Linked DNA regions of Caenorhabditis elegans. The protein of the gene in region 2 purifies or fractionates together with the protein of the main gene of each other region. This does not show direct contact. Each region holds a gene or a part of one and is shown on either strand. Other genes may lie near its edges. The genes, in order: ZK105.3 and clec-59.

Region 1 (6,141 bases), on a different chromosome or scaffold from region 2:
TGCTCTGAGAACTACATCATGCAACCAAGAACAAGGACGTCAATCCATTAAACACGTGAACCACTACCGCATGCACAAAAGGATGACGGACGCGAGCAGCCACGTGGTGACCTTTCCACGTCTACACCGACGACCACAAGACACGTGTACAACACCGCCCAACAGGAGATGCTCATCGAATCAGTCTTAACTTTTTACTCGCTTCATGTTCTTACTTTATGTTCTTGCGTTACTTGTCTATTAGTGTTACTAGTTGTCTATAATAAATCCTTGTAGAGTCACCAAGTGTACTGTTAGTTTAACTTATATAAAATACCACTGAACGCACTGCAAAACACTGCAGGCTTTCTGGAAAATGTTTTACCGCTTTTATACCGCTTGTAAATAACTTTGTTTTAAAAAATGAATATTTCAAAAATTTACTGTTAACCAAATAGTCTTGATTTGCATGATTTGCATGCAAATTTACTGTTAACCAAATAGTCTTGATTTGCATAAACTGATTTTTATCAATGTGGAATCTATAATAATGGTTCATATCTTTTCATTAACATCCTAGATTTACTGAACGATTTTTATAGTTGTGTTTCATTCAACGAGTTAACTAAATAAACATTTATAGTGTCTTGATAACTTTCCTCCAGAAAAGTGATAATGAAATTCTACGGAGAAAGTACACTTTTTGATCGACAACAAATTGCATTCTGAAAAATTATTTCCTACAAAATGTATGTACCACGAATGTTGCAGAAAAATCTTATCCTTTTACTTTAATTAATATTTTAATTGAATTAAACTATTTACTATTAGGGCTTTTGATGCCTGACTCATGACTGTTTTGGCCAATTGTTTGCATTTTGATGTCAACTCTTCTCAGACAAACGCTTAGTCGTCTAATTAGATTTCAACCAAATATAATGGGGACATAATTCATATTTGTTTAGAAATTCATGTTTGATTATATTTGCTCCATATTTTATTATAAAATCCATGTTACATTAGATTTGTTCCATATTAGATTAGAAATCCATATTTGATTAGATTTGTTCCGTATTGGATTAGATTTAAACCAATTTCATTAGATTTGTTTTATATTGGATTGGATTTCAACCATATTTGATTAGAAAATCCATATTGGATTAGAATAGGAAGCCTATTAATTATGTCCCCATTTGGTTGAAATCTAATTTTTGGTTGAAATCTAATTAGAGGACTAAGCGTTTATCTGAGTTGTGTTAAGTGTTTGCACATTGTAAAGGGTTATCTCTTTATTTTTTCTAACTTTGAAAGAAGAAATGGTTGAAATTCACTTCTATGAGACCAATATGACCAAATATCGTAGAAAAACATTTCAACCTTTTTTGAAAACTTATTATTATGGTCTCATTATGTTTTAAATATTAATATTCAAGCACATTAAATTTCTCAGGGAAATTTAATATTAGAATGGTATCCATCATATTGAGTTATAGGGGTCTCAAAGCAGCTGGGTTCAAAAGCAGCTAGCTGGTCATATAAAGAGACCACCACGTTGTAACTTCCATGAACATTTTGTATGTTCTTAAAAACGCCAAGTCGATCGCCGGACATCTGAACTTGTCTATTGTGACAAATGTCTCATCTCACTCTATCTTTTGTTTCTTTTATATAGATTCTAAAACAAGTATCAAGTGTTTATTCCACGAAAGTAATTTCAGATGAATTGGTCGATAAAGGCGTTGCTGTTTATTTCCTGCGCAACGACATTTTGCTATGTTGCACTAATGGGAAAAGCGGATCTATCTGCAAATGTAAAAAGAACAGAACTAATATCACCAGTTGTTGAAATAAAGAATGGAAATAAATGGATTGTTGTCACAAGTGTCAGTGCTCCAACTGAAGATGTTAAAGTAAACCGGTTCAGTGGTTTCAAATAACTGATACCATTTTCAGAGACTATCTTCATTTCCAGACTGGAACTTAGTTGTAGTAGCAGATACTAAAACTCCATTGGATTGGAAATTGGAAAATGTGCATTTCTTATCAGTCGAATATCAGAAGCAGTTGCGTGAGTTAAACATTGAATTCAATTTTTAATGCCAAATTTATATTTACAGCATTCTCCATATCTGCATTGCTCCCCTATAAATCATACACTCGAAAAAATATAGGCTATTTGTATGCAATTTCTCACGGAGCTGAATGGATTTATGACACGGATGATGACAATAAACCATATGTTAAGTTTACATTTTTTCAAGAATTTTTGTCCCATGAAATATCTGCTAATGATGGCATGTAAGATCTATGGGAACATTTGATTTCAGGTCAAGGATTAAAGCAATTCGACTTTGATGACACAATATCGGGAGTTCGGTATCGGCCTCAAATGAGAAGTGAGGAAAGAATATTGTAAGAAATTTCAAATATTGTGATTGCCTTTCATAACAGTTTTCTAGAAAACGACTTTTCAATCCTTACCGATTTTATGGAATGGATCAAATGTGGCCAAGAGGGTTTCCATTGGAACATATTGAGGTGGGAAAAAGTTAAGAGACAAAGGAAGACTTATGTATTCCTGTACGAACCTTCGCATTATTAATTCCACAGCGTGTTTTTTTATTTGTTTTTTAATATTGCAAAAAAACCAAATGACTTGTTTTCTTGAAAGCAATTATTTCCAAAAAAGTGAAAAAATTTCAAAAACGTTTAGAAACACACGAATGGGAACGATTCACAAGTATTGTGTTATCAAATGAAACGAGCAGCTGTGCAACAAGGTTTAGTGCGCCATGATCCGGACGTGGACGCAATTTATAGGTATGGAAAACTTTCAGTTATAAAGAAAATGTATAGAAATTTCAGACTGCTTCACGCTGACACTAAATCTGGTTTAAACTTGAAATTCAATAAGTTTGCTCCTCCCATAACTTTGTCCGTTGGCACATATTCTCCATGGAACTCACAGAATACATTGTTCCACAAATCAGCATTTCATACTTTGTTCCTCCCGACTACGGTGTCATTCAGGTTTACTATAAAATATTTTCATGGTTGACTTTTGATATTCCAGAACCACTGACATTTGGAGATCTTTTGTTTCTCAGAAAATCTTGCATTTATCCGGATTAACAGTGTCATTCGTACCAACAAACGCGGTACAATTCAGGAATGCGCATGACTATTTGAAAGATTTCAAGGACGAGAAACAAGTTTATGAAGATTCTGGAAAAATGATAGAATATCTTCATGACTGGAAATGTGCCCCTGAAAACTCTAGCGATTTGGAGAGATGTGTGAAACAGTTGGCTAATGATCTAGTTGAAGTGAAACTGTGGGGTAAAGAGGATGCTATGTTGACGGAAATGTTTTTGAACGATTTGAAGAGAGTGGGGTGAGTTGAAAAGAAAATGGAAGATTCTAGAAACGTAAAACAAATTTTCAACTAAAAGTTACATATCTGATAGTGAGTTTTATTATAAAAGTGAGTTTTAATATAAGAGGTGATTTGTAAAAGAAAAGAAACAATTATACATTTTTCACAAAAAATGGTAAAAGCGGTATTTTCAAATATACTCTTCTACTATTTATAGATTTGAATTCCCCCGCATACTTGATGGAAATTACGAGGATCCTTATACTCCATCGAAAAACGAAACCTCTAGAGATGTGAATTGCAGGAGAATGCAGCTAGACTTTGAATTAAAAGAAACAAAGAAAACTGACCTAGATGAGGTGGGAAAATTAACTCTCAAAAATGTATGAAACATGTGATATTTTATCTATTCATTCCAGAATGTTCAACGGGCTACTCGGAAAATAAATTATTTCGGAGATATCGTTTACTGGTGTAACGAAACTGATTATTCTAGTAAGTGTTCAATGTATGATTTTCTAATTCAGTATTCTCAGACTTAACGAATCAGTTCCCTTCTCCAGAGCAGCTTTCCAGGAAGCACGAAAACTCGTATGTTCTCAAAAAGAACTTAAACACGGTATGTTTGTCATTGTTAACCCGTTTTAGTTTTAAAAACAAACAACATAAATTTTTTTAACACAATTTTCAGGTCCTAATAGTTGTCAACAATTACCCATGGAAATATGGAATGGGTTTATTTCAAAGACTCTACGAACCATATTTTGCATCGACAATTTTCTGCGGTTCCTGGTATCCGGAAAATTTTACAAACGTTGATAACTTTACATCAACTATTTTTCCAATCAACTACGTTCATGTTAACCCTGCTGAAATCCACAAAGGATATTTTGCATATCATTGTGTCACTTTGGTTAAAGAAATGCGACTTAGCAATGTGGAAGGATATTTCATGATGGCAGACGATGCAATATTCAATATCTGGCAAAGAATTGATTACTCGAGAGTTTTCCATTTGAATGGAATCTACAACATTTCAAACGTTTGGTGGAGCGGAGATTATGGTGATTTGAAAATATTGGAACTTTCTTTTAGGTTTCTCCTTGTATTGTTGCAGGAAAAAAAGCAGCTATCAACATTTTGAAAACTATCAAAATCACTAACAATACAAAATTTCAAGATGCATGGAACAAATTTGACAAAGGATTGCAAAATTACGCTTTCTTCAACTTGACAGATAACGCAGAAACACAAATGCTGAATCCGATTGGAAAAAGTATCTCAGATTTGTGAGTTATGATTGCATCTTACTTTTCGGTAGGGTAAAGTTACACATGATTTTTGTGCACATTAGAAAAAACAAGTGACACATTGTTCACATCAGGGATGTGCGGCAAATCTCAAAATGCCAATTCGGCAAATTCGACAAATTCGGCAAACTTGCCGCACGCCCCTGGTTAACATATATCACAGTAATAATTCAAATTTCAGTTACTATATTCCCACATTACAAAGCGAGTACTATGCCAGTCTTATGCGGTTATTCTATGAAAACCAATTCTTCTTGGAAATCGCAGTGAATAGGTTTTTGCGATCCGTGGATCATTCAACGTAAATCAATTGTAAGCTGATTGTATTTATATGCAATTAAAGTTCAGATCTCTCTATGCTCGAACCAGTTATCTTTGGACAAACCGTGAGAAATGGGATACAGTTTATCACAAGAATATGGTTGCAATGCATCCTGTCAAAATTAGTAAATTCATGAAACCTGGTGCAGCTAGAAAGCGGTGAATTTTTTTTTCAGAATTTAGCAATAAAGTTCGAATTCTTGTAGATATTGCGCTTCAATACTTCAAATTTGGTCGGATATTATTTTCGGTGGATCTCGTAATTACACGGATAAAAGTGACGAAGAAATAGATTATATCAACGGGTTTCCTGTTAGACAGTTATATTAGTTATATTATTAGACAGTTATAGTTTCTTGAATTGAATTATGAATTGATCATTTTTTCTTAAATCGTTTATTGAAAGCATATGCAATTAAAAAAAAAGTGCACGTCAGACTTTTGTCAATTTTAGTTAAACTTTGTTCGCCTGAATAGTTGTCTGCTTATGAAAATGTACTTGTTGCAATTACTGGTCCAACTTGTTGACTTGATGCAAAAAATCTTGAAAACGCTTTTCGAAAGTCTCGTCTGTAGTTTTACAAATTAAAAAATCAACTCCTTGTAATCAAAAAAACTTACACAGTATAGCAAAATAAAGGGAGGGTGAAGCTTTGAGTTGAAAAGCTGATAATTCCAGCTGTTAGCTTTACAATTTGAATGCTTTCCAACGTGCTTTTGAAGTAAATGTTACCCATGAACATCACTGAATACGACAGAAACGCACCAAAGTAGTACATTACAGTGATTTTGATTAATGCTTGCACAATTGAAATGTTTGTGGAATCTTTAAAAAATCACATTACAAGTATTTCTGTTTGCCCGAAGAGTTTTTGCGCATTAAACAGTCCTATACTATTCCTATACTACAATCCTATAAACTCACCGTATTCCATAGCCTTCATCCGATAATTCACGAAATATTGCAGTGGGAATAAGATAATTGCAAATGAGAACGTTGAAACTTTGTACAAGTAGTACGCGTCGCCAAAACAGTTTGAAAGAACACAAATGTTTGAAGAGCTGGAAAACTATTTTTCAGTTTTAAGATTACAGCGCAAGTTCTACTTTTCAGTATCTTGTTGTAGGATAGCAAAGCCAAGAATCCAAAGAGCG
Region 2 (3,825 bases):
TCTTCCCCCGTAATAAGCGTCTCAGTACTCATCAGAAATCTTGCCTTGATGAGCATGCTCGAAAAATGGCTGTTTTCATGATGGAGAGACAAGAAGAGTACCGTTACTACGAGAACTTGGCCAATCAGGAACAATTCTCCGATGATGCCTGCTTCAGTGACACTGGAATGGACTCCGGATTCTGCAGTGGAGACACTTCAACTGGACAATCAGCTTCAACATCTCCTGCTCCAGCCCATCTCATTCCAAACCCATTCTTTGATCCAGAATATGTTGCTTCCAAGACAACTATGAAACTCGTTGCCAATCCATTCTACAACCCAAAGCTCGCCAAGGAAATCAAGAAGAAGTCTACTCATACTTCTAAGTTTCAATAATTTCTCATTAACTCTTACAACTCTCCAAGTGCCAATTTGTTTTCTGTACTTTTCATTTGCCGGTCATTTATTTATTTTTTCTTACCTTTTATCTTGTTCAATATTTTGTAATTTTCCGCTTAAAGCAAAATTTCCCGTGTTTTTTATTGTTGTCCTTTCTAATTCCTAATCAATAAATTAATCAGTATAACTGAAAGATCGTTAAAGTTTGTCTCACAATTTTATTCATTAAATTAAAAGCAATCAAAGAATTGAATTTATTTGTTTGACAACAATTGTACATAGTATGAAGAAAATCAACATTAATAATAATAAATTACATATAAAACTAATGGTTTGAAATGGAATCACCTCCAGAGGAACAGTAGTTATTAGTGTCACAAGCAGCAGTTTCACATACATAGTTGGAGGCAGCTGCGAATTGATGAACGTTTTGCCATCCAATTTCCAAATCAACAGTTGTCTGTCGATTCAAAACAGTTGTCAACGAGGAATCAGATATTGGATATCCTGAATTCCAGATTTCATAGTTCTGAAGTTGTGGTTGTGTCCAATCTTGTGGCTGATCCCACTGCCACATTCCATTGACCTTGTTCAGTCCGATGTGATAGCTTAATGGAAAATGGAAACCAGAGAAGTTTTTGACAGATGATATAACAAAATTGTGTTTCCTGTTGTCATATTCATTGAGAAGATATGAATTTCTCCATCTATTACGGCATGATAATTGAGCAGCACGCCAGACGGCAGTCAATCCAACTGGAAGAATGCAGATTCCGTAACGGTAAGAATCCACGTCATCATGCAAAGCACGGTATTGAATCCAAGAAGTTGGACAGAAGCAATTTGCTGAACAATACGTGTTATTTCTTTATAAAATCAACTCAGTTTGAGATACCTTGAAGTAAAAATCCTTGAATTTCTCCGATAACATTCAAATTTTCATTCGAGAGATTGTGATAAGGAGTTGCAATTTTCTCGAGATCAACAAGAATGTCTCCGTCTTTATTTTGATCATATGCCACGGTGATAATTGTAACTCCAGAGGTTTTCAAGCGTTGAGCAACTGGAACTGGATTCAAGTCTCCACTTCCTCTGAAATTTTTTGGTTTTTAGTTGGGATTCCAAAAAATGCAACTCACTTGTATGTAGATGCATATACAATCACAACCTTCTGATAATGAGCACGGTTAAATCCATGCTTTCCCGCTTGAAAAACCTTCTCGGCTTGTGAAAGCCCTCTGGCAAGATATGATTCTTCAGAAGAGCTTATTGTTGCCAAAGCAGAGTTAATTCCACTATAGATATCATCAATTGATTGGAACTTGTTTAGATCCGCCGCCTGGAACAATACTAATGAGGAACAACAGTTTAGGGAAACGCTTACAGTTGTGGCATCAACATTGTATGTCACTAGTGCTAGTCTTGTAGTCTTTGGACTTGTCGGATTAGTGCCAATCTGTGTATTTTTACTGAATATGGAAGCAATATTTGCAGCGACCTGAAATATGCTCTTTTCAATAGAATAATTTGATTAGAATTACCGTACACTTGTCAATCCTCCCTTGGTCATTCCAGCAGAGTTATCCACAACAGCTACAACATCCAACCATAAATTACTCAAATCTTGTCCACATATGCGATCCGTATAGGACGAAGAAAGGTATGCTAAAAGTTACTAATTTTGGCAGGTAATTGATTGAAATAAGACTTACCATGAAACAAGAAGAAGAGCAAACAAATGTTTTTACTCATTTTTGCAAACAAATGAATGATTATTTTTCTCAATTCATTCTCTCTTTTATACACATGGAAGTTTCATTAAAATGATAATACACAAGATGCAGAGTGTATGTTTGAATTGAAGTATCCCAGACACACCTTATTACTGTCTCTTGTTTTCAAAAAAAACCAACGGATGAAACTTTGTTGTATTGAGGAATTATTTAACTGATAACACCACTGGTAACTTATTTTCGTACTACTATTTTTGAAAAGTAGTTGCAATGTTTTGAAATGCCGTACTAATTGAAAAAGTACGGGAGATTTCATTTGTTGTGAAACAATTGGTTAACGTAATTTTTCCTTCAAAATTATTGGTGAACAGTGTTGCTAAAAATTTTTTAAGTTGTAGCAAACGAAAAGAGAAAAAAGAAAGTTAATTATTTATTGAGAAAAGCCGAATAAATTTATTTCAGTTTTTGCTAGATTGTTAGAAATTTAACTTCACAAACTAAGAGTTGAATTATCAGTATCACAAGACGCAGTCTCACAAACATCTGCATTGAATGGTTTAATATTCTGCCATCCAGTCACCAAAAGTCCGCTTATTCGTTGGTTTGAAACACCTGGATTCCAAATTTTTATTACAAAGAGGGAGAAGCAGTACTAATAAAATAAATACGGTCTGTAGAATCAGAATTTATTATTATACAACAACAAGTATGTATCGTGTATATTAGTGTTTTACGGAAATTTCAGCAAGTCCAGCTTCGGTGCAGTAATTATCAGTATCGCAAGATGCCGTTTCACAAACATAATTGGCTCCAGTCGTCAGTGGCTTGATATTCTGCCATCCAGACTGCAGTTGCACACTTGATTGTTGATTCAGAACTCCTGTGAGAGTAGAGTCCGAAATGGGATATCCTGGATTCCATCCTGCATAACTTTGAAGCTGTGGTTGAGGCATTCCTTGTGGTTGATCCCATACCCAGACACCTTTGACCATACTGAGTCCGTTGTGATAAGTTAGAGGTACACTGAATCCTGTGTAATTGCTCACTGCAGTCAGGACATAATCGTGTTTGTTCGAATCGAATTCAGTGACAAGATATGCATTTCGGTTCATGCATGAAGATTTGGCAGCGCGCCATACCGCATTGAAACCGACTGGAAGAATGCAGACACCGTAGCGGTAGGAGTGAACATCAGTGTAAGATACACGGTATTGAATCCACGAGTTTCGGCAGAAACAGTTCACTGAAAATAGTTTGTATTGCTATATAATATAAGTTCCTTTAACAAACCTTGCAGCAAAGCATCCTGAATCTCTCCAATAACTTGCCCGTTGTCTTCGGTATTCGTGAAGTTGTATGGTGGAGATGCAATCTTTGCCAGATCTGCAAGAAGAGCACCGTCTCCGTCTTGATCATATGCCACAGTAATAACAGTCACTCCAGAAGTTTTCAGTCTTTCAGCAACTGGCACTGGGTCCAAGGCTCCGGATCCCCTAAAGACAAGCAATAAATGGTTGCACAAACTGTCTAAAGAACATACTTGTAAGCTGATGCATAGACAATCACAACTCTCTGATAATGAGTACGGTTGTACCCTTGTTTGCCGGCTTCAAGTACATCTTCTGCTCTTGCAAGCCCATTTGCTAGATATGACTCTTCGGAAGTGCTGACTGACGAAAGAGCACGGAAAACATTATCGTAGACGTCATCGA

The links.
Region 1: the proteins of clec-59 (region 2) and ZK105.3 fractionate together in Caenorhabditis elegans (co-fractionation; one large-scale study listed by BioGRID). This does not show direct contact.

The regions. Positions count from the first base shown.
Region 1 is NC_003283.11:7,695,445-7,701,585, forward strand, and holds ZK105.3 (Glycosyltransferase), read left to right. Parts: upstream 1-1,697; coding exon 1,698-1,889; intron 1,890-1,932; coding exon 1,933-2,047; intron 2,048-2,096; coding exon 2,097-2,218; intron 2,219-2,305; coding exon 2,306-2,391; intron 2,392-2,438; coding exon 2,439-2,517; intron 2,518-2,692; coding exon 2,693-2,799; intron 2,800-2,844; coding exon 2,845-3,009; intron 3,010-3,052; coding exon 3,053-3,373; intron 3,374-3,572; coding exon 3,573-3,714; intron 3,715-3,774; coding exon 3,775-3,850; intron 3,851-3,891; coding exon 3,892-3,974; intron 3,975-4,046; coding exon 4,047-4,419; intron 4,420-4,472; coding exon 4,473-4,644; intron 4,645-4,846; coding exon 4,847-4,966; intron 4,967-5,013; coding exon 5,014-5,145; intron 5,146-5,192; coding exon 5,193-5,316; 3' UTR 5,317-5,370; downstream 5,371-6,141. Other genes in the region: srsx-40 (G_PROTEIN_RECEP_F1_2 domain-containing protein), read right to left, coding at 5,604-5,812, 5,912-6,048, 6,094-6,141.
Region 2 is NC_003280.10:10,477,317-10,481,141, forward strand, and holds clec-59 (VWFA domain-containing protein), read right to left. Parts: upstream 2,133-3,825; coding exon 2,093-2,132; intron 2,046-2,092; coding exon 1,927-2,045; intron 1,879-1,926; coding exon 1,765-1,878; intron 1,720-1,764; coding exon 1,520-1,719; intron 1,473-1,519; coding exon 1,276-1,472; intron 1,227-1,275; coding exon 706-1,226; 3' UTR 688-705; downstream 1-687. Other genes in the region: ZK666.4 (Pepsin-I3 domain-containing protein), read left to right, coding at 1-377; clec-60 (VWFA domain-containing protein), read right to left, coding at 2,836-3,356, 3,404-3,606, 3,654-3,825.